Mytilus edulis: one gene and its partners. The protein of the gene in region 1 purifies or fractionates together with the protein of each later gene. This does not show direct contact. Links are inferred from orthologs where the notes say so. Each region holds a gene or a part of one and is shown in the gene's direction. Other genes may lie near its edges. The genes, in order: ribonuclease P protein subunit p40-like, ribonuclease P protein subunit p30-like and ribonuclease P protein subunit p29-like.

Region 1 (8,825 bases):
CTATTTCAAGCAATAAAAAACATATAAAGATAAGTCCAAATACTATTTTTACTAATTTTAAGCTCAAATTTGACTGGTAGCTAGTAACATATGGGGTATTCAAAGAAAACTGCATATGGATATTACCAATGGCCAATATACTTTTTTTATTTTCAATATCATTGTTTTATTTATTCATTTCTAATAGGAAAACTATGTGCTTACCAATAGCCTATTTTTATCAGAGGTCCCTCATTAAATAAAAATACATTAGTCCAAACTTAAGACATAAATGAGAAAATTGTCCCCCCTTTTTTCTTTAAATTGGAAAAGGGCTTTTTTTGGAATAAACCATAATTCTGTGGTAAAATATAGATTATTTAGAGCAATTTATATATCCCTCAGCTAGATAACTTGCTAAACTGGTTCAAAATTGCATGTACAGTGAGATTTTAGAGCAGGCACACCTCTTTTGTTTTAAGTTCAAATAAATTGGCAATTATTGCATTTCAAAGCAACACTTTATGGTGTCTTGTACTGAAAAAATCAACATACCTTTAATGGCATATAAGAAAGAACTGGTTCGCGGAAATTAGGATGTACCAAAACAGGTACATCAGATCTGACAAACAGACAAAATGTACCCTCTTTTTAAAAATTAGTGCAGTCTTTTTATTATTCAAAAATAAAAGTCCAAAAGTGTTCTAAAATGCTCACCAGTCCTTAATCTTTCATTTGATACCAACAATACCTAAATATTCTACATATTTTGAAAGTTACACTCATGCGTAGAAACTATTTTGTGTTAAATATGTACTACTTTCTGGTATGTGCTTTCTGGCCGGGCCTGAATTAGTGGTGTTACACCAATATACAACTTTCGAGTTCGATGCATTTCCATCAAAAACTCTGGTTTTAGTGAACGTCATTTGTGCGCTTAGGGGCGTCGTCACTTCCATTCCAATGTTGAGCAAGTGGTTGGAAAACTATAATTCTATATTGTACGAATTATTCGGCAAACTGAATTCTCAAAATTGACAATCAGCACTGCTGTCATTAGGGAATTGCCATTTAGTACCTACAGAACAACCATTATTTCTAGTTTATCCTGCACAATGAAATTAACTAAGACGCCTGATGAACCTAAATAGTGCAGGGATACAGACGACCCCCTCTATCTGGTAAATGACATCATAAAGGCAGGCATAATTGACGTGTTTCTGCCGGTGATGGATGAACTCGAAAGTGGTCTACTAGATTGCATTATTGTCTCCTTTGACATGTTTGATATCATTAATATATTTATTCACCCTATAAATAAAATATTCTTATACCTAAACTATAATTCTTTGATTGAAAAAAATCATAACTTCAGTGTCAAAAAAATCAGTAAGCGTTTAATAAAATTATTTACTTATAGATATAAAATAATTATTGAAATTTCCACATCCAAACCACATTTTTAGACTTATGTTTATAATTTGACTTTTAGTTAAAAGTTTCTAATTTTCAATGACCTATGCAGATATAAAACTGACATCATTTTCTAACTTTTCTACTGACCTATTCAGATGAAATAATGACCAATGAGATGTTCAGACTTCCCATTGACCTATATAATACTGACCAATGCCATGTCCTACCTTTTCTAATGACCTGTACAGATATAATACTGACCAATGCCATGACCTGCCTTTTCTAATGACCTGTACAGATACAATAATGACCAATTCTATTTTTGGACTTCCCATTGACCTATATAATACTGACCAATGCCATGTCCTACCTTTTCTAATGACCAGTACAAATATAATAATGACCAATTCTATGTTTATACTTCCCAATGACCTATATAATACTCAGACCAAATGCCATGTCCTACCTTTTCTAATGACCTGTACAGGTATAATACTAACCAATGCCATGTCCTGCCTTTTCTACTGACCTATTCAGATGAAATAATTACCAATTCTATGTTTGGACTTGCCAATGACCTATGTTATACTAACCAATGCCATGTCCTGCCTTTTCTAATGACCTGTACAGTTCAGCACTGTACTTGACTAGTCTAGCTGAAGGAACATCATCTCTCAATTGACCAATTAAACCAACAGAATGCCATGTTGTTCCACATGTATATCTACAAAAGCAAGAGTTAAAAAAAGAAAACCTTTTCTACAAATTTTACCATGTTCATCACATTTTACATGATTTTGGCAGTTATCTTGGTTATGTTAAATTCAAGTAGTTGATTTGCAGACTTAATTGGTCTGATATTATTGCCTCCTCAAAGTTAAAGTTTTTTTTAAATATTACAGTAATATTTTAGCATTCACTTCCGGTGTAGGTTATTAAAGTCCCCTGAACTAGCAATATACAACATAATTTCACCCTCTCTCTGCTAGTTGGTAGCTAGCTATAGATGTCTCAGTTACACCCCTATTAATGTTACAATATCCCCTGACCCACTGTAGGCTACTTACTTCCCCTGCTCCAACAGTACAACATCATTCCAACCTCTCTCTGCTAGATGGTAAGCTATAGATGACCCAGTTACACCCCCACCACATATCACCACACGGGCATGCTTTGGCAAATCAACAACTGTCTTCAATGATTTTGATGCTTCGTTATTGTTTATACAACTTCTGTGGAAAGCTCTGTAGAAGGCATCACTTGTACAGCGTTTGTGTAAAGGAACTTTTAAATAGCGGATTAAAGACATACTTGTTGCTCAGTCTGTTCAAGTCATTTTTAACATCTTATAACAATCCAGTTTGTCATTAGTGATACTAGATATTACACTGACTATGTTAACAAAGCAACTTTATCTAATGCATATCCTGGGGTCTACCCATATCACCAGGGTCATCATCTAGGACGAAACTATTTAAGATCTAAAATGTAAATAAACAACGTTTATAATATATACCTGAGGTCAGAAAATGATAATGGATAAAACCTACATATAAGAGTCAATACTCCTGGCCTAGATTTAAAACTCATCGCAAATATTTTGATCTATTTCAGTTAATAAATTGTATTCATATCAAGATTGTCACCTCATCAGACCTTCCTTGACATTAGACAAAATGTTAGATGTTAAGATGTTTATTATGATAGAGATTAAGCCTCATAAGCTAAAATTCAGCTAAAATCTGGTTTTTATATTTTAGTTTCATCAATCTATATATGTCAAGGATATACGATTTTGTAGTTACTTTGACAAACAGACTGATTAAAATAATTCACTTCTTGTCAGAAATGTTTAAAAAAAATTACAGTTTAGAAAAAAAAAATTAAAACTCTTGAAGGGATTTATATTGCCATCATCCCTCTGTTGATAGTTAACTTTACACATTAAATTCAATAATGTTTATTGAACCATTTTATACAAGTACATTTATTAGAAATTAACAAAACTTGGCAGGTACATATATTCTTTTAAGTAAGCTGATTCTACCTTGTGTATGTGGATTGAACTACAGTTTTGATGAAGTTCACTACAAAAAGTGCCACTAAAAACCTCTAGGTATGCATCTTAGGACATAGAAATTTGTAGAAATTGAGAATACCTTCACACAAATATACTTTCTATTTGCCTGAGCAGTTGAAATGACTGAACTCAATAATATTATTGAAATAACAAAAGCAACCTGCATTATACAACGTTATAAGAGAATTTATAACATTGGTTGCAATGAATTACATTGATTTCCCAGTTAAATAAAAACCGATAATTTCACATGTGAAATAACAACTATTTCACTCTCTGACGTCATACAACAATTGGCGTTGTCAAGACATCAATAAGGGGGGTCAAAACAAACTGTGAATGCATAGGGAAAAGATATAAATGTAGTTGCTTACATGTTTTACATTAATTTCTTTAAAAAAAGCCATTTGCCAATGTAAGAAAAAGAATAACTAATTAAAGAATTCAAATATCTAAAAATATTCAACTTGTGACCCAACAACACTGATAATTAACTCATGGGCTGCGCAAATTCGGAAATTAATGTGAATATTAATGACATGGACATGATTTCCTATATATATATGTAACTGAATTTATTATAGGATTTTATAGCTAGGACATGATTTCCTAGGAAAATTAGTCTGGGGACATAGATTACAATCCCCGGACTAAATATATTTATACTAGTAAATTTTGTAACCATGTACTATTTTTTTGGGGACGAAGTCCCAAATTACGGTTGAAAAATCAATAATAAAAAAAAAAATTCAGGAAAATTTCCCCGAATTTTTCATTCTACTAATGAACTCAAAATCCTTAACTTTTTTTTTCAGATCTACTTCCTTTTCCGGTCTTGTTTGCATGAGACTTTGAATAAAATGTATATAAATTCAACATTCAATCATTTTTGATAATTGTTTGATAGGAAAAAAATGTTACCTGGATAACAGCGTTTCTTTGTTTACATTGAATATGACATCATAACTTAAATAACGTCACAACTAAATCCCTAGCAACAGAACCAATATCGGAAACGTTACGGTATTTCCGTTTCTTTTATCAACATGATTGAATTAAAAAAAAAATAATACAGACTTCGTCCCCATTCACAGGTAATGCCTGCCTCATATTACAGACTTCGTTCCCATTCACAGGTAATGCCTGCCTCATATTATACATATTACTAGTAATATTTTTTCAACCAGACATATTTTACCAGGAAACTTATCACTTAAATACAATTACCATGATTACAGTCATGACAGTTAATGTTTTCCTTTTGTTCTGTTGACAAAGTCTAACGTTTGATTTTGTACGTTTTCATGGACTTTCTCTTTTAGATTTTCAATGAAGTATAGTATTATTGTTTATATTTTCATACAGGTCAAATTGAAATCATTTCTTTACACACTCCCAGTGACTCTGTGTGACACTCAAAAAAATACAACCCTACACTTTCCTTTGTCTCAGAGACAAAGATGACAAAGTTGATTTTCAGAGCAAAACTCATGAATAAAACTATTATTGACTTACTGTTTAACACTGAACTATATATAATACAGAGAGGTTTAACTAATATTGCTGTCTGCTCTTTTTACAGTCTCATGGAGGCATAAATTAAGGCATGCGAATTCTGGGCTCAAAAAATATTTTCATATGTCTAAAGAACAAAAAAAACAACAAAACTTATTCTTAGATTTGAGAATATGTATAATTTTTAATTTCCTGTAAATTATTAGTAATTTTACATTGTTGATAAAAATATGAAAACTTATTTGTAAGCAATGTTCCGGTCTTTAGGTAATTCCGAAGAAAATGGCTGCGCCCATAGAGAAAAGTTTACCCATAGGAAAACTTGTTTTTGAAAAATCCAGCTTTAAAAATGAAAAGTCTAAACATGAGGAGTTTATAGAAGATCATCATTTCAATTATGCAGTATGTTGACTAACCAATAAACACACCAGCACATGTTCAATGTTAGCTGGTCAGATACAATGTAAAAAAAAAAGGGGGGAGGGGGATTTAAGATGGACAAAAATGCTGTTTTTACACCTCAGAGTACAGACTAACCTGTGTAGTTGGAAGAGTTTGAAGGCCTGGCATCCACCAGATTGAATCCTGGTTTGTTGGCCCTTATGTACAATCACCCTGGCACACATACATGTATTTGTCCGCCTAGTCTGAATAATTAGGCCTTTCAAGATGTATAATTATTTGGACTACTTTTCGCCCTAATACCTGTATGGCCAGGGTCCAATCTTCATGCCTGCCAAATGTCACTATTTGCAGGGGATTTCCAAAACAAAAGTTCCCAAATGAAAATTTTTGAAGAGCAATTGTTGAGGGGGGATAGGACCTTTATCAGGACTCTGGGATCGGGTGTTTTTAAGCTCTGGATTTCGGGGTCCGGGAATTCTTTTTTTCAAATTTCGGGATCCGGGATTTTACTTAATTTAAATTCGGGACCTCGGGATTTCGTGTTTTAAGCCCGGGATTTCAGGATCAGGACCCCTCCTACCCCCCCTCATTGTTTTCCACAATATAAAACGAGGCATTGGCTAGGACGGTTACAATACATGGGAATATTATTGTTACTTTGGAGACTAATTGCCGGAATGCAGGGTTGGGCATAGGCACTAGCCTTCTGTCAATAGTAATAAAATTTTGGCAATGGGAAGAAAATAGTGTCCATGGCACATGCACTAGACATGCTAAAGGTTTGTCTACGGTTACAAATTGTGTTATTGTTTCATTAAAGCACTGCAAAGAAGTATTCATGGGACTAGTAATACATGTATGTACACTTTTTCCATGGTCGGGTTGTTGTCTCTTTGGCACATTCCCCATTTCTCAATTTTACATTTGTATTAAAATCTGATATTTACAATATTTCATACAATTTTTTAAAATTTTTATTTACATTGAACTACAATTTTACGAAAGGGTTTTCTCATTGACGAAAGTATTTCAAATCAATTTCGCCACTTTAATTTTTAAAGTGTAAAAAAATTTCGCAATAAAAACTATAAATCTACCTGTCTTCATGTTTTCGACAAGTTTATGACCTCCAGGTAATTAACATTTTCAACAGGTGTTACAAGTTGTGATTACAACTAATCCGCTTATCTCCATCGGATGGGTCACTAATCCGTTAATTATTAATAAACCCCATAATTGAATGACCATCATAATTATTTCACCAGGAAGATCAGTCACTCGGCATTTCAACAACCAGGAGTATAGTTTCGTCATTTAATAAAAAAATATAACAACCCGGACAGTTCGCATTTGGATTTCAATATTTCTCAAACGATCACAATTTGAATGTCGTTTGTCGTAGATTTGTCATTCGAAAGCATTTTCGTCATATTTGATTTAAATTTTCATCAAAAACTTTCGGCAATTTCAATTTAGAATAAGGAACTTTAATGTGTTTATTCAAAACTTGCACGAGTTAAACAGGTGCTTCCTGTATTGTGATCTAGGCATGCGTGAAAGTATTCCTTTGACTATTTATATACATTAAAAACGTAAAATACGCAATCATTTAGAATCAATTAAATGAAAGAGACAAATATATATCTCTTACCAAAGGAATTTAAATCGAAAAATGTTAATTTTCTGATGAATCCGGACTCATTTTGAATTTATTATCCAGGTGTCACTTCCCGTTTTCGTTTCATTTTAAAACCGAAAGTAGTAAACGTGATCTATTGTTGATTTGTTTACAACCTCCTTTCAGTCATTATAATAGTTCCACAAAGGATTTTACACATTTCCAACTTGATAGAAATGATTTCCAAAAATCGATTTAGACCTTTTATAAGGATTTTGATTATGAAGTGAAATAATCAGTTCAAGTTAATTTCTGCTGTGATTCCTTGTTTAAAAAAAAAAGAATCCATCTTTTGTTGATCAGGAATGACCCCTGGAACAAACTGAAGAGAAATTGTGAACTAAATTTCTGGATTCCATTTCAGAATCTTTCATAATAATGACCAATACAGTCAACATGGTCAAATCATACAATAACTGCCAATCATGCTGGTGCCTCAATCCCTTAAAATCTGACAAAGTCAAAAGATGAAGCTAGTAATATACATCATTGGTCCCTTGCTTTTACACAAAATAAGGTTGATTTTAATAGAGTTCAAAAGTGACTAAAGCCCTCAAAATCCTAGCTTAAACCCTGCAAATCCAGTAAGTTGTTTTTGGAGCATATTTTAGTCCGATGCATTTTTAATGAAATCACTCTAAGCAGCCATGCAACACCAACCAGTGATGTGGCAACTTGCATGCTCTGTATTCCTTACCGTACACCAACCAGTGATGTGGCAACGTGCATGCTCTATTCTTTACCGTACACCAACCAGTGATGTGGCAATGTGCATGCTCTGTATTCCTTACCTTACACCAACCAGTGATGTGGCAATGTGTATGGTCTGTATTCCTTACCCTACACCAACCAGTGATGTGGCAACATGCATGCTCTATTCCTTACCCTACACCAACCAGTGATGTGGAAACGTGCATGCTCTGTATTCCTTACCCTACACCAACCAGTGATGTGGTAACGTGCATGCTCTGTATTCCTTACTGTACAATTCCATTCTGCACTATCTCATTTTGCCATGCTTCAGTCATGTCAGTTGGAAAATATATTTGTACTCTTGCGATATTTTTTTTATATGAAGCATGTGAGGTTTTTTATAAATACATTTCAATTGTGAAAGTAATTAATGTTGACATGGTTGACATTTGCCTACAGGTTGAAACTGGTGGAAACAGTGATTTTCATTTTCAAAGTCCAGATGCAAATGTATTTTGGGATTGTAATTTCGTTCTTGTTGGTGACAGTACATGCTCTATTGACACAAATGATTGAACAGTTCATGTATTCATAAATAGTGTACATGTTGTAGTAGTATCTTTAAGAACATCTAAATAATTGATACTATTTAAACATTATTCGTTTTATAATTATTACTAATACCATCTAGAAAGAATTAAGTATCTAAACTTCAGAAGGTTTAAGTTTAATAAATCTAGCATACATTGCAGTCTTGAATGTAACAATAATGCAATGTAACCGTAGACACAAATATTATTGTTACATTCATAAATAATCGATTCCTTACCCTACCTTGCATTCCGGCAATTAGTTTCCAATGTAACAATAATTTTTATATTATTGTTACATTTTCATGTAACCGTAGCTAGTGCCTTAAAACAAACCATTTAATTTTCCAATGGCTATAGGCTTTAAAAAGTATGAACAAGCCAAAAAGAAAAAAGCAACATTAAGATACATTTGAAGACCCCCTTGAATGTTGTTAAGGATTGTAAAAGTCCTCTTGCATGTAAAAAC
Region 2 (8,153 bases), on another chromosome or scaffold:
CATTTTCTATGTTCAGTGAACCGTAAAATTGGGGTCAAAACTCTAATTTGGCATTTAAATTAGAAAGATCATATCATAGGGCACATGTATACTAAGTTTCAAGTTGATTGGACTTCAACTTCATCAAAAACTACCTTGACCAAAAACTTTAACCTGAAGCGGGACGAACGGACGAACGAACGAACAGACGGACGGACGAACGGACGCACAGACCAGAAAACATAATGCCCCTCTACTATCGTAGGTGGGGCATAAAAATCAACATTTGTACCTGACAAAACAGATTTGTTTGATCCTGATTTTGCTGAATTTGGGAATGTTACTCTGCCTGACTGTCTTGAACCATCCACTCCTACAAGTAAATATTCATAACTTTAATATCAACACAATAACTAAATGTTCATTGCACTAAATCATTTCACGAAATACGTCACTACATTATGAAAATAAGCAGATGGTATTCGTGTATGATTGCCAATGAGACAACTTAATAATCCACTTGAGTTCCAATTGATAGATAAGGTGTCAACTGAAAGTGGTCTGTGGACAAAGGAAACCTGGATAGAAAGCTTATCTGCATTATTTTATTGTAAATAGGTAAAGGTCAAATGAAATTAATTTATGTACATGTATCATTAATTATTAATTTAGAAGATGACTTTTTAAATATCAATATGAATTTGTATCTTATTCTTAATGACAAAATTGCAACGTTACTATTAATCTAAGTTACTCTAAGCATTCTTAAAACTGTTTCAGATTATTTTTAGAAAAGCTCAAATATATGCTAAATTCTATTGTTCCAAAATTTATATTCTATCATAACTTGTTTAAGGAATCTTGTTTACGAAAAAGTCCTATGTCTTTACCATGTTTATGATCAAAATTTATATAGGAAAGAATTTTTAAAAGTGTCACTTTTGAAATAAAAAAAAATTGAATATTTTTAGTCAGATTAAACTTTTGAACTAAATAACTACTTACTTGACTTTTTCCCTGAAGCATCTGTGTCAGGAGAAGGGGCACCTGTTGGAGAGTCTGCCATTTTGTTTTAATTCTAAAATATAACCATATAAAACATGAAGTCATCAGTTTTACCATGTTAAAACCTCCTTGAAATCTGTTTTCCAATGGGATTTGTTTGTACATTTTTTTGTACCCTAGCAGCTGCTCTATACAATACAATACAATATCCATTCATTTTTGTTAAAATCTGTACATATCAGACTTATGATTTTTTTAATGTTTTCCCATGATTCATTGCATCAAAGCAAAGAATGAACTCTGTTTCCTAAAAAGTTGGGAATAATGAACAATATGGACCATTTGATTCACATACATGTATCTATTAGAAATTGTTATTTACAACTGCAGTATTTATATCACATGTGTGTACAATGTGTCTCGATATGTGATTGATCTGTAAGTCACAGTTTTAGCTACATACATGTACATGTTGCTCAGCCAAAAAATTATTTACCTATACAAGTTTTAAAATAAAATACACTTGTATAAGTTTCCTATAAATTCATTATAAGCATATTAATATTTACTTCTTCAAGTAAATAAAAATTACTTGTACAAGTAGTACCCTTGACTGGGCCTAAATTAATATATTGTTTGTTTCCCCAATCCCAATCCTGCCAAGCCAGGTGTGGGTAAGTACATGAAGGTAGGGAAATCGTTTAACTTTTTCCAAAAAGCTGGAACAATATCGGTCGATCCCACAATCCTTCAAATTGGAAATGAATAAAATAATATTTTTCAGGGTCAGTCAGGATTGGGGAAACAAACAATATTGTATTTTAGGCCCTGGTTATTAGCATGATAAGTAAAACAACCATGCATCAATGACATTCAGGTAATAAAACATGAAAGATGTGTCAGAACAAAACATTATTACTGAGACTTTAACAGCACAAGCATAGACCTTATCCCTATTTGGAAATCTGTGTGACCATTGCTTGACCCTAGAATCTGCACACCTTGAACTATTGACAATCACATCATTCAACAATATCTTTTCCATTGTTACTTGTAACGTCAAATGTTTTTATTATGACCTCAAATTTTAAAGAAACCTTTGTAAAGTTCAGTAATCATGGTAATGACATACAAATCATAATAAGCAAAAAGGTGTATTGTGACATATGATATTTACAGAAAATGCATGAAATTCAATTAAAAAGTTGTCTTTTTACTTTTAGAAAATAACAAGAATGTGTCCTCAGTACACGAATGCCCCACTCGCACTATCATTTTCTATGTTCAGTGGACCGTGAAATTGGGGTAAAATCTCTAATTTGGCATTAAAATTAGAAAGATCATATCATAGGGAACATGTGTACCAAGTTTGAAGTCGATTGGACTTCAACTTCATCAAAAACTACCTCGACCAAAAACTTTAACCTGAAGCGGGACAGACGGACGAACGGACGAACGAACGGACGAACGGACGAACGGACGCACAGACCAGAAAACATAATGCCCCTCTACTATCGTAGGTGGGGCATAAAAATATAATTTGTAACCTTCAAGAGATCATTTCATAGAATACCTTCTTCTTCCTTTATAGTACAGGCCTTCCATTGGAGTATTATCGTACTGTTTTATGTACATGTTTTTGATTTGGGAACAACAAATGTGCGAGTAAGTGCGGATTATTTACAGTGAAAACGGTGCTTATCTTTAAAATAACGATAAAAACGAGGTTGTACATCTATCGACTATCGAAGCTGGACGGACACTTGCACACCCCTTTTGAATGATTCAAGGGTTGTGCAGCTAACTATGTGTTGTGGCAGTCCATTCCAGATTCTGATGGTATCTGGGAAAAATGAGTGACAATATATTTGAGTCCTGGCAAAAGGAACTAGGAATCGTTCATTGTGTCCTCTTACTGTTGATATTTCTGGCTTTAAATTTGTAGTTGGTACCTGTCGCATAGTATCTGAGCAAGGATTTCTTACTATACAAATCCTAGTCCTATAGTATATGCCTTCGCATTATATATTCACTATTTAACGTTTTCATGCTGATATTTTCATTATACAAATCCTTGATCATCATCTGAGTAATTTCAAAAGTGTATTTAACTATCGTTTATGCTAATAAATAAATTAATTTTATTTAAGTAATATCTGCGTTTACTATGAGGAAAGTACCAAACAAACCTATGTAGGACATTAATGTATTACCTAATGTTAGGATTTGTATACAAATCCTTACTTCAGGCAGAGACATACATGTATAATACAAGAGATTGGCAACTCGGCAAAATCCCGTAATATCACACTGCCAGATTTAAACCTCGCGAGATCTCTTTGGGTAATAGAGTCATTATCAAAGTATTAAAAGTACTTGAAGTAAGGGCGAATGTGTAAGCATAAATTAACTGTTTCAGTGTTAAATTTAGTCTGAGATTACTCTGACGTCCAACAGCAGTTTTGCCAGACAAGCTGGGGCCGTGGGACGTCAGAGCCCGTCCCATATCAAAAAGTGGATATTTGCCCACCCAAAATAGATGCACTGCTTCGTCGCTTTAGGTGCCGACTGACGGCCTCAGAATTATATAAATCGGGCATCAATCTGTCCTACAGCCCCAGCTTGTCTGGCAAAACAGTCGTTGGACGTCAGAGTAATCTCGGACTATGTTAAATTTAACATAATTAAAATTAAATAATTTGAGTTCATACATAATTATTCATTTCAATGTCATTTAATTTTGATTTGTATTATTTATATTATCGAAAAAGAGACATAATTTGATATTGAATTTAAATTTTTTTAAAAAGGATATTAAATAAATAATACTTGATAAATTGTATTATATGGGCCCCAATAACAGTAGAAAAATCAATAAAAAAAATTTTTTTTTTTAAAATCTGGAAAATTTTCCCGAAATTTTTTATTGTACTAACATGACTAATGAACTCAAATTCGTTCAATTTTTTTTTGTCATGTTTTTTAATTTCCGGATCTGCGCAGAACGCAGAAATCTACTTCCTTTTTCCGGTCTTGTTGTCGTGAGACTTTGATTAGTCTAGTAAAATATAGGAACTCATCAAGGAACACAATACCAATATTTAATTTTTAATCATTCTTTGGCTTTGATATGAATAAACGTTACTGTATGCATTGCGTTATTTTGTTTACATTGAACATGACGTCATAACTTAAATAACGTCACAAGTAAAATCCCTAACAACAGAACCAAAATCGGAAACGTTACGGTATTTCCGTTTCTTTTTTTCACAAATATTTTAAAAAGTTACAAAAAAAAAATCATACAGACTTCGTCCCCATTCACAGGTAATGCCTGCCTCATATTATGTCTCTGCTTCAGTTCAGGGTAAACCAATTTCAAATTTTAGCTTGAAAAAAGCAGAAACTACTTGCATGATTTCAAATTTTTATGAGTATTCAAATTAGTCATTCAAAAGAATTATTCATGGGACATTTGTGTTATCATAAAGAGCTAAAGTTACCAATTAATGTAAATTCAGGCACCCACTGTTTACAATTTCCGTGGTTACTAACTCCGGAAGTAAATTTGTATGAGAAGGGGAAATAAGCAATAGTGACTTCCGGAATGGCTAACTTCATGGATTTCAACGTGCAGATTAGCGAGAAGCAACATTTAGCCAAAACACTTGCTATGGCAGCAAAATGTAAATATCATATCCTTGTTAAATCAAAATAAGAAATAAGATTCTTCTCTGGCAAAACTTGTGTGTTTATGAAATCATAGCAACATTACTCCAGTTCAGTTGTCCCGACCTAGTCCAAATAAATTATGTTTTCGAGACGTTTTGGCCATACACCACTTCGGCCTTAGTCGTTTCGACCCATTATTCCCTTTTCTTAATTTCTGTGTCTTTCAATGTTTTGAATAAAAAATAAGAGGTCAGTGTATTTTTACTTTGCATGCTTTGTATGAGATAAGACTGATACATATATATATGAGGGTTTGGATGGGGTTGAATGATTAAAGAATAATGCCCTTAAAAATGAAGATTAGAGAGTAACGGGCAAAAAAATGAAGAATAGAGAAATGCATGGTCTAATTTTTTGAAGATTTGAGAAAAAAGGGGTTATTTTTTTTTAAAGATTAGAGAAAAAAAGGGGTGAAAATTAAATGTTTACAGAATAACAGACCCCCCCCCCCCCCCCCCTCCTCCTTATTTTATTATATTTTACAGTCTTAGCAAAAGGTAATGATGTTGTCCCATATTCTCAAAAATGGTTTACCTTTGATAAGTGATATTGGCCTAAAAATTGTACAATGTTAAACTATGTTAGCTAATATACCAGGCATGGGTTACCTGTCAAAGAGGAATATATATTGATCCATCAGAACAAACATGACAAAAGCATAAATGAAAAAATGACAATAAGACAGCTACCCAGCATCTTTCATTTGCAAGATTTTTGACCTCATCATTTATCTTTTATAACATTGACCAAGGACCAGCATATGAAATATGGCAGCTCTTAATTTTTTAACAAATATATTATTGTTAACTTCTGAATCTTTGAAATATAATAATATGGCAATGTGTCTATTTGAACATTTTAACAGTGGGCTATAGTGTTGCTGCTGTAAATCATTGTGCACCAAGTATAGACAGTATTGTAAAGAAAAAAAAAAAAGACAAAGATTATGTAAGTACTGTAATAAATTTGTATAGATATGTATACACACATGTGTAGACAGTAACAATTGTATATGTATAAAATATATAGATTCTTGTTAGAAAATGATGGATTTGAGAAATGATTCTTTTTTGCATCATTTACATGTAAATATGTCTCGCTGCGACATAGCCTTGTTGTGCTAATACAGCGTAAAGCAACCTACAATCAATGTAAATATATATGTGATAATTAGTGTATCTCAATTTTTTAATGTTTGCTATATGTTGAAAAATATGAATAATCTATCTTAAGATTTTAAAGAACTTGATTGCTAGGAACACATTCTTGATTCTTACCATATGCTTAAAGCATTTATATGTTTAAAAGAAGAAGAAGCTTTTACGTCAATGAGACGGCAACGTAAGGGCAAACAAAAACACCCAAAATTGGATGAAACTCAAAACAAGGATAAGAAACACACCAATTCTAACTGGCAATTATAACAGTCATCTATTTTGTAATGTTTATGCATTGTTCAGAAACAGATGCATATCATATGAATGTTTCCCATAGCACACTGTCAGAAGCAACATCTATTCTATAATTATTTTATATTACACTTTATTTTTCTTTTTTCCTTTGTGTAGCATGCAATTCCATTACCAGAAACTTTGAAAGTTGATGCAGAAACTTTAAAGAATATCATGGTGAGATATTTAGTTGAAATTCTGTGAAGACATCTCATTTTTGGTTGCCTGCTGCTCTGGAATTATTTAAGATTTCCTTACACTCAAGTATGTGTCTAAGAAATTTGAAAAGACAAAAATGATATGGGATGTACATGATTCTTGTAAAATCATTTTTTGTACCCCTCACCCATTTTCTCAAAATTTTGGCTAGAAAGACTGTCAGACTTGATTAATCGTAAAATTTGAGAACTGAATTACACAAAAACCATTCATTATAAATACACAATTTTTTCACAGAGTTATGTTTGATTATAATATTTTTAAAATTCATTGATATTTTCCTCTACAAGTATCACATGTTTAGGAAATAGTTCCTGAACGAGATTTCAAGGAGACTCAAACCTCAGAAGAATATGTCCTTAAGAATGAAATGAATACATTAAAAGTGGAATATAAATCACCAATAAATAATATAACAGATCACATCAACCACCAAATCCTAACCACTACAAGACAACAGATATACAAAAAAAAAAAAAAAACTTTGATCAATGCATATTCCAGGTAGCCTAACATTCTGACTTTAACAGTGCTTAATGAAAAATGACAATAAAATCTTTAGGGTAGGCTATTTTTAAGCCGAAAAAGTAGGGACGGTAGGGTTACTGGAACAACACATATATTTTTATTTGGCCTTACAAGCATCATTTCCGAAATTAGGTGGATTCAAATTGAAATCATTTTAAGAATACACCAACCTCTTATAAATATCTATCTAGACTGTATGTTTTTACACTATAAAAAAAGTCGGCTCAAGAAAGTTACAAACAGGATGACACTAAAGTCCAGAATTGGAAATTATGATAATATAAACATTGCTTTTCAGGCAGGAACAAAAAAATTCAGACAGTTATCAAGATTTAGTACCATAATGGAAGATGTTGCACAGCTACAAAAATTAGTAAGTTTAATTAATTCAATAGTATATATATATAGATCTCAATCGACTGACCATTAAAATCATTGACCACAACTCTGCTTGGTCTAAGGAGGATAGACTTGCTCTGGAAAGATTTTGGATCAGAAAATTAATAACTTTGGCACCAAATGGGATAAATTAAAAGGTGTAGTTCGACTCCGTGTAGTGCTTCACATTTGGGTTATATTACTTATTATTACAGTCTCTGTTTCTTTTTCTTAACCTTTTTCATTTATTAAATAAATTTGTTGAAGATACCAATTTAAATTGCTTAATTTTTTGAGGGATGTATAAGTACGTGGCTTAGTCAAAAACTATTATTACATTTTAACGGCCGTTTGTTCGCGATGTTTAAATATTCAGACTCTGTTGTACATTTTGTAGCTACTTTACTCTGTCAATTTCAAATATTTTAAAATTTAGATCCTTCAGTGCTGTCTTTTTGGTAATTTTACAGACATTATCATGCTTATACATGTTATACCATCATAATTGTCATTCCCGTTAAAGTTTTAGAATTGTGCTGGTTCAAATCACACATTATAATTTGTATTTAAAGCATATATGTGAGCTCTCTGTTGTAATAAGCCATATAACCTATGTCATGTTTAACAAATTTTTAGAATGATGCAAGCGTCTTAACTGATGTTCGGTTTGACTTTTTTTATTGTATAAATTTCAAGATTTAGTAAAAGTTTAATTTAAGAAGACTTAAAGATGATTCATTTAACATCAGAATCTGACTGACGAAGGATATCTGTTATCTGAAATATTTCTAAATAATTACATTTATAGTTACCTTTTTTTTGTATTTGGAGTACACTTTTTTAGGCGTTTATATAATTTAT
Region 3 (7,769 bases), about 16 Mb from region 1:
AATTACTGTTTTGAATGAGGGGAGTCATAGAATTAGTGCAGTGACACTTAGTGATGATATTTTAGATTTTAATTTGTATTGTGTTTATATGCCGTGTCAAAATTATTCCATGGATTTATTTGAAAGTACTTTGGACGAACTAGGTGAAATTATGACAAAGTATAGTAACTCAACAACTATAATATTAGGTGACATGAATGCCAGTGTGAATAGGTCAAAGGGTTATCGCCAAGATAAAGCTTTAAAGTCATTTCTGAACGAGAAACATCTGTCCGTGCCATAGGACTACCCAGAAGAGCATACATATTACCACCACGGTGGGAAACAATCTTCCCAGATTGATTATATAGTCATATCCTCAACTCAAATAGATAAAATCTCAGATATAAAAGTCATGATAGATGAACCGCTTAACACTTCATCTCATAGGTCAGTGCAGGCAACCTTGTCATGTTTCTTTTCAACAAGAACTACTAAGTCTGGAAAATCGATTTCAACACTGAAGAAAGTGAACTGGAAAAAACTTGACAATGAAAAATATGAAAAATTACTTCATCAGAGACTTAGTTATATGTTTATTGACAATAGTATTTTCTCATTTATCGAAATGAGCTGTGAAGAACTTTTTAATATTTTAACTACAACCGCCTTTGAATGTGCACCAACAATTTCTGTTGGAAAAAGGAAACGTTCATGGAACTCTATGCTGCAACAACTCTGTAAACAAAGCAAGGATGCACATTGGAAATGGAAATCTCTTGGGAGTCCGTCTGACATAAACGACCCTGCAAACAGAAAACGTCTCGATATGAAAAGAGAACTTAGAAAACTCCAAAGACAATTGAATGCAGAAGAGCGACATTCTCTCTATCAGAACATTATGGATGCTCATTCTGGTGACAATGCCACATTTTATAAAATTATTCGCCGTCAGAGGCAGAGTGGAAAACGCTTACTCGACTGTCTGATCATTGATGATGTTCATTTTGATACACCTGATCTTATTCGTGAGGCATGGACAAATTATTTCACTGATTTATCTACTCCGTCTGAAAAACCGCAGAATCAACAGTACCGCTCTCAAGTTGAGCTAGACCGTATTTTGCTTCAAGACATATTGGAACATGAAGATGAAAAAACTATTGAATTTGATATTGGAACAATTCAAAAATGTATTTCTAAAATGAAAACCGGGAAAGCTACTGACCAATTTGGAATTTCTGCTGAACATTTTAAATATGGAGGTGAAAAAACAGCCAAAATACTTACAAACTTGATAAATGAAGCATTTAAATTTAAGCGTGTACCACAGTGTTTCAAAGAAGGTATTGTTTCACCGTTGTTCAAAGGTCATGGAAAACCTATCTGCCTACCAAAATCTTATCGACGTATAACAGTTTCTCCTGTAATGGGAAAATTGATGGAATCGGTACATCTTTGTTTAGAGGAACCTAAACTACTAAAGGTACAGAGCAGACTTCAACGTGGCTTTACTGCCGGGGTCAATCCTACTTTTGCAGCACTTCCCCTGACTGAGGCAATCATAGAAGCAAAAGAATTAGGACAAACATTATTTACTACTTTTGTTGATGCGTCATCCGCCTTCGATGTTGTTTGGCATGCCTCTCTGTTAAAAAGTATATTTAAAAGTGGAATATCTGGACAAAGTTGGCAAATCTTAAATGACTGGTACACGAATATGAGCTCTGCAGTTCGATGGGAAGGCAAGTTATCTACTTCGTTTGCTGAACTCCAAGGCGTCCGTCAAGGCAGCGTATGGTCTCCCTCTGTATACAAACTTTTCGTTAATCCGCTAATAAAAAAGTTAGAAAGTGAAAGTTTGGGTTTTAAAATTGGTAATGTGTTTGTGGGTACTCCAATGTGTGCAGACGATCTGCTACTTATCTCTTCAAAACCTGATGAACTCCAGACTATGATTAGTTATACTTCCCATTTTGCAGAGACAGAAGAATATAATATAAGTAAGGAAAAAACTAAAGTTATGATATGGAACTCATCTTTGAATTGCAACCTTTGGAATCAAATGGAAAAGTTTCACATTGGCTCAGAAACATTAGAAACTGTAGAAAATTATAAACATATTGGTATTGATAGAGACTCCCGTGAAGTAGAGGCAACAAGAACAATTATTGGAAATCGTTTAAAAACTGCAAGACAGACTTCATACGCACTTATGGGCTCAGGACTACATGGTTTAAATGGACTTAATCCAGAGGTGTCATGTAAACTTTGGTCAACATATGTGGTTCCACGTTTGTTATTTGGACTTGAAATTGTAAATCTTAGTGCTAAAGATATTTCCCGCTTAGATATCTTTTGTAATAACTTTTTGAAACAAATTCAAAATTTACCTGCTAGAGCCTCCAACGCTGGAGCTTATCTACTTTTAGGTCAATTACCTATTATTGCACTTCTACACAAAAAGATTCTGATAACGTTTGGTACCATTGCCAGAAGTGACTCTGTCGAAAATGATCTTGCTAAGCGTCAACTGTCTACAAAAGGAAAAAACTCTAAAAGCTGGTTTATTAGGGCTGACAAGATTTTGAAACAATATAACTTGCCGTGTGCCTCAGAAGTTTTACTTAAACCAGAGACAAAATACAAGTGGAAAATGAAAGTAAAAAAGTGTGTTGATAACTTTTGGTCCGAAAAACTGTTTACTGAAGCCAAATCAAAACCGTCATTACGGTACTTAAATATCAAAAACTGTAAAATTGGTGTTGTTAATTCTATATGGAAAAGTGCTGGTTCAGAACAAATGTGTATACGTAAAGCCTGTTATAAGATCAAAATGCTATTGGATACATATATTCTACAGTACCACCGTTCAAAATTTTCAAATGGTCAAAAAACTTCAATTTGTCCGCTATGTGAGGAAGGAACTGAGCATTTAGAACATTTTCTTGTCGTATGCTCTGCCTTAACAAGTATTAGAGACATTTTTATCTCAAAGCTTTATACAGTTATTGTACCAAAGATTGGAACCGTTGCATGGACTGACATTTGCGTTAGTAACTCGAAAATGATACAATTAATCTTGGACTGTAGTCGTTTCGAGTGGTATCATGTGTTAGAGAAAAATGACATAAATTTGGTGGAATCAATCACTAGAAGCCTGTGTTACTCGCTCCATGAAAAGCGTAGTGTGCTCCTTGAAAGTAAATAAACATTTAAAAGTTGTAAGGTTTACCAAACTCATAGGCTGTAAATAGATAAAATTGTTTAAAGATAAATGTATAGTGACTGGAAACAGATGTAAATATAAGGCAACAAAATTTTACTGGATGAACTCCAGGTTCTCCTGATAGAGGAGGGATTTACAGAAGGTAACAGGTAACATTCCCCATATCTCCACGTTCCCCAAGACAAAATTCCTGCATCCGCCCCTGCCCTGACTATACTAGTTATGTATGTCATTGGGGAGTTTAAGCGTATATAAACTCATTAACAGAATCAAATTCGAACCAATTCTTCTAACGACAATGAGGACTTTCGTTGTTTTTTGATATGTGGTGATTCCAATAAAAAAAATCGCCCATATTAAGACTGAAAATGCCGTCCAAACTCTAAGGTATATTTAGAAAGAGCAGTCCATAAAATGTGACATTTTTTTTGGATTAACTTGGAAATCTACCTATGGAAAGGGTAAATATTATGCTTTCAGATAAACACTGTTTGTAGACTTTTTGATTTCTTTTCTCTTTTTAATACTGATCAATACTTTCATTGAGAAGGGAACGGTTATCTGACACGGTTATATTCCCTGACAATTCGCTCGGATGTAACAATCATCGATAGTTTAGAATTTGATGTTTGGCTTATCTAACTATATTGAAAAATATATCAAAATTATAAAATAATTTGAATTTTGACTAAACATTTCTTACTTTGACGTAGACAACTTGACCAACTTCAAGCAGATTTAAATTAACAGGATTTAACCCTTATTACATGTGGCGAGTTGGTTAACCAGTTTGGTGCGAGTTGGTGCGGGGCGATTTTTTCAAAGTGGGGCGAGTTGGTGTGTAGGATTCCATTAGTTAAATAAATCTTTAGAACACTAAGTTCTCTTCTGCTAAGCATATACATGAATATATGATTAAACAAATGGACTGGAGGTCAGTATCTTGCATAATATAGTTTATTAAGATATTTCACATATTTTTCTTTTATTTAATTTTGTCCACATCTATTTTTCTTCATTATTAGGTATTTAGATTCACCTTAATATTGATCCTAGTTTGGAGTGTCATTCCCCATATCTCCACGTTCCCCAAGACAACATTGTTCAATATTTTTGATACATTGTGTAAGTATTCTTGGGTTTCATATGTCTTTTAAGTGATCTTAAAATTTAGAAAGAAAGTTATGATTAGTCTCTGTTGTAATTGTATAGTATGTCCATTATCTTGTAGAAGTCACAGGAGTTTGAAATCCTAATAACAGTTTAAAATATACCGAACTCGACTATCACAGTAGAGCTTCTCTGGAACCAACTCCTGTGTAGAAGTAGAAGATCTGGAATCTAATTCCCAATTCCCATAATTGACCCTGTAATTAAATATTCCTATTTAGTTTTCTTCCTTATGAGGGACATTTTAATTTTTATCATGTTTATTTACTAGCAGACTATATTAATAGCATGCCCTAGATAAATAGAATTCAAATGCATTGTATGATTTAGAAAATTCATAACTTAACTGGATTTTGCTGTACACTTTTTTTCGTCCCTGCAAAATTAACAAACAGTTGAGTTTACCTTGATATGGTCCATTCAGGTACACAGTTTAAATAACCAATTATTGTCAGGTATCTATTGTCCATCTCATGTCCATGTCAAGCAATACAGCTCACTTCAATTATTACCTGTGGGGAAGTTCTCAAACCTGTTTCCCAACTTAGTTTATTTTGGCACCCTCTGGAGGAATGAAAAAAAGTGCACGGCAAAATCCTGGTAAGTTTTTATTTTTCTAAAACATAAAACATATTTGAAATTTATTTATCTAGGGCATGCTATGCCTGAAATTTTTTACAGATGCGCAGGTTTGTCTGTACTCAGAGTAAATTTTGAGGTGAAAATACGGCCATTTTAGCCATAGGGTCCACATGAACCTTTAGAGCAAATTTCATAAGAGCAAAATTAATTTGTTGTTAAGCTAAATCATGAACATGTGTAAATGCTTTTGACATCAGAATTTTTTTTCATGAAAAATTAGGGGAAGGTCTAAAACGCGGAAGTGAAAAATGGGTGTATTATAACTAATATCTGTGGAACCGCTTAAGCTAAATCAATAAATAGAACTGATTCTGAAAGCTATTATAATAGGCTATAAGATAACATTAAACAAATATTTATTAAAATATGCATTTTTACCGAAAAGTTGACCGGAAGTCTTTCTTAGTGTGACTCTGGCAACACATTTTTGAACATAGTTTGTTCAGTAGTTACTTTTAAAATCACAATTCCCTAATGTGGTGGTGCTGATTGTCAATTATGAGAATTTAATTTGCCGAATAATTTATGCAATATAGCTTTATAGTTTTCCAACCACTTGCTAAACATTGGAACGGAATCGATGACACCCCTAAATGCACGAGTGACGTTCACTGAAACCAAAGTTTTTGAAGGAAATGCATCAAACTCAAAAGTTATCTATTGCTTTTGTGCAAATCAAAGGAAATTAATTATTTGGTAGCAGCAATAGACTATAGTATTGCCAATAGTATTATATATGATACAAGACAAAAGTTGCTGAAATGTCCAACAAACTTTAACATACTCTCCGGAGCACCTGAGATCACCCCTAGTTTTTGGTGGGGTTCGTGTTGTTTATTCTTTAGTTTTCTATGTTGTGTCGTGTGTACTATTGTTTTTCTGTTTGTCTTTTTTATTTTTAGCCATGGCGTTGTCAGTTTGTTTTAGATTTATGAGTTTGACTGTCCCTTTGGTATCTTTCGTCCCTCTTTTAACTTTATTCAAATAATTAACATTGTACAACAAGACAACAGAATAAAATAAAATCAAGGGGAAAGACCCATGCCAGAGTAAACAAATATTCAGGCTAACATGTACATGTAGTTGGATGAATAGATCTGGATTCTCTTAACTTGTAAGACTTGTAAGGAAATTTATTTTCACAGCTTGCCTCCTTGACTTAAATGTATTTTTATGAGTGACAGTTTTTTTTATATTTGGAAGTGGATTGCCAAATCAGATCATGATCATTCTTCTGTAAACTACAGGTGACTTTGTAATACAATATACATGTACATTTTGTAAAATTACAAGCCATTCAAAAATGACAGAAATCATTGGATGTCTCTTATTAAAGATTATTGGCCTTAAAGTCATAAGAAACGAGTGACCGGTGAAAAAAAATGTTCTTCCATCAGAGCTCAGACATAAACAAGTCCATTTTTGTTTTTGACTTAAAGAAGTCAAAACATGTATTTATTATAATACAATGTATGTGTTTTCAATTTTAGACTTATTTAAGTCAGAAAAAGACAGACTTGTTTACATGTAGGTCTATTTATGTTGATGAAAAAACTTAATTTTACTTGGTGGCCAAAGTACTCCACCTATGACAGCAAAAACCTGTCTGAGAGTTCACAAGGACTTGAGCTATCTATATTTAATTATTTAATTGAACATCCTTACTAAGCACAGATGTTTTACCTTATTTAGTGTGGTTCCAGGTGGTTGTTTTGTAAGGTTAATTAACATTATCTCCAATTTTTTAGACTCTCATTCATATTTTTCTATAGAAGACAAAGCATTGTCCTTCAATGTTGTCATTATTTGATTTAGATGCATGATTTTTTTATAAATATGCATGGGTCTTGAAGTTAACCAATTTTGATAACTTATCGACTTGTAGGAGTCGACATTTGCAACTTTTTGATTCTGGTCAATTATTTCTTGCTTAACAGTATTTGACTTATTTAAGTCGTATTTTGTCTAGCATTAAAGGGAGACAAATCCTAAAACATACAAATTTAGACCTCTATGAGTCAAAAGCAGATTCAGACTTATTTATGTCTGAGCTCTGACTGTCCAATTCTTGAACCAATGCATACAAACATCATTAAGTTAGTCTTCTGTGCACGAATTTATCATTTTTTTCGTGTAAGTTTCGTATAATTGTCAATTTTTTTTTCAATCGGTCAGTGTTTTTGTGAAAATATGGCAAGTAACTAAAGTTCGTGTTTTGAAGCTGAAATTTAACGATGGTCACCTCAGTGAGTGAGTGTTTGTCAACAATCGACAAAAATCTACAAAATTGAGCACGTGTTTAACATGTAAATTCAGATAATAGTTTATTTTAAGGACATCCATTCGTATTGTGATCACTGGATTTTTACGAGATGGGTCACACTGAGGTCACTTTGCATACGGAAAATATGTCGGGGAATTGCTTCCTGGAAGGAAGCAATTAAAATAAAGTAAACTTCTTCTAAATATGAATAAATTAAAGAATTTTCTTCAGAAAAAAGTATATGTACATAAGTTTAATAATGAAAACTATCCATTGAGTTATAAAAAAACATATGCATTTTTTTTTTGATTTGAGGTTTCTTATGACTTTAACTATAAATTTGTGTTTGCATCAAGTGCATAAAAACTATGAAGGGTGATCAAATGTTACCAGGTTAGGGAATCAAGCTCTTATTTAGGTCTTTAGGAGGTTCTACTTTTTAAAACCTGTATGTTGCTGATGTCTAAATCATGACAATGTACATGT

The links.
Region 2: the proteins of ribonuclease P protein subunit p40-like (region 1) and ribonuclease P protein subunit p30-like purify together in Homo sapiens (affinity purification with mass spectrometry; 3 studies listed by BioGRID and IntAct, counting the BioPlex papers as one, with this or other methods). This does not show direct contact. The link is inferred for Mytilus edulis from reciprocal best matches to the Homo sapiens genes RPP40 and RPP30.
Region 3: the proteins of ribonuclease P protein subunit p40-like (region 1) and ribonuclease P protein subunit p29-like purify together in Homo sapiens (affinity purification with mass spectrometry; 3 studies listed by BioGRID and IntAct, counting the BioPlex papers as one, with this or other methods). This does not show direct contact. The link is inferred for Mytilus edulis from reciprocal best matches to the Homo sapiens genes RPP40 and POP4.

Annotation. Positions count from the first base shown.
Region 1 is NC_092348.1:201,793-210,617, reverse strand, and holds the start of ribonuclease P protein subunit p40-like, read left to right. Parts: upstream 1-5,262; 5' UTR 5,263-5,272; coding exon 5,273-5,392; intron 5,393-6,182; exon of another isoform or gene 6,183-6,233; coding exon of another isoform or gene 6,234-6,251; intron 6,252-8,825. Other genes in the region: pyruvate dehydrogenase phosphatase regulatory subunit, mitochondrial-like, read right to left, coding at 1,989-2,119, 2,463-2,704. UniProt on the Homo sapiens protein: Component of ribonuclease P, a ribonucleoprotein complex that generates mature tRNA molecules by cleaving their 5'-ends. Also a component of the MRP ribonuclease complex, which cleaves pre-rRNA sequences.
Region 2 is NC_092344.1:62,972,694-62,980,846, forward strand, and holds the start of ribonuclease P protein subunit p30-like, read left to right. Parts: upstream 1-4,550; 5' UTR 4,551-4,591; coding exon 4,592-4,670; intron 4,671-5,581; coding exon 5,582-5,664; intron 5,665-6,284; coding exon 6,285-6,344; intron 6,345-7,212; coding exon 7,213-7,287; intron 7,288-8,153. Other genes in the region: cilia- and flagella-associated protein 100-like, read right to left, coding at 272-352, 985-1,045. UniProt on the Homo sapiens protein: Component of ribonuclease P, a ribonucleoprotein complex that generates mature tRNA molecules by cleaving their 5'-ends. Also a component of the MRP ribonuclease complex, which cleaves pre-rRNA sequences.
Region 3 is NC_092348.1:15,791,828-15,799,596, reverse strand, and holds the start of ribonuclease P protein subunit p29-like, read left to right. Parts: upstream 1-4,229; 5' UTR 4,230-4,333; intron 4,334-6,201; exon of another isoform or gene 6,202-6,267; intron 6,268-7,769. UniProt on the Homo sapiens protein: Component of ribonuclease P, a ribonucleoprotein complex that generates mature tRNA molecules by cleaving their 5'-ends.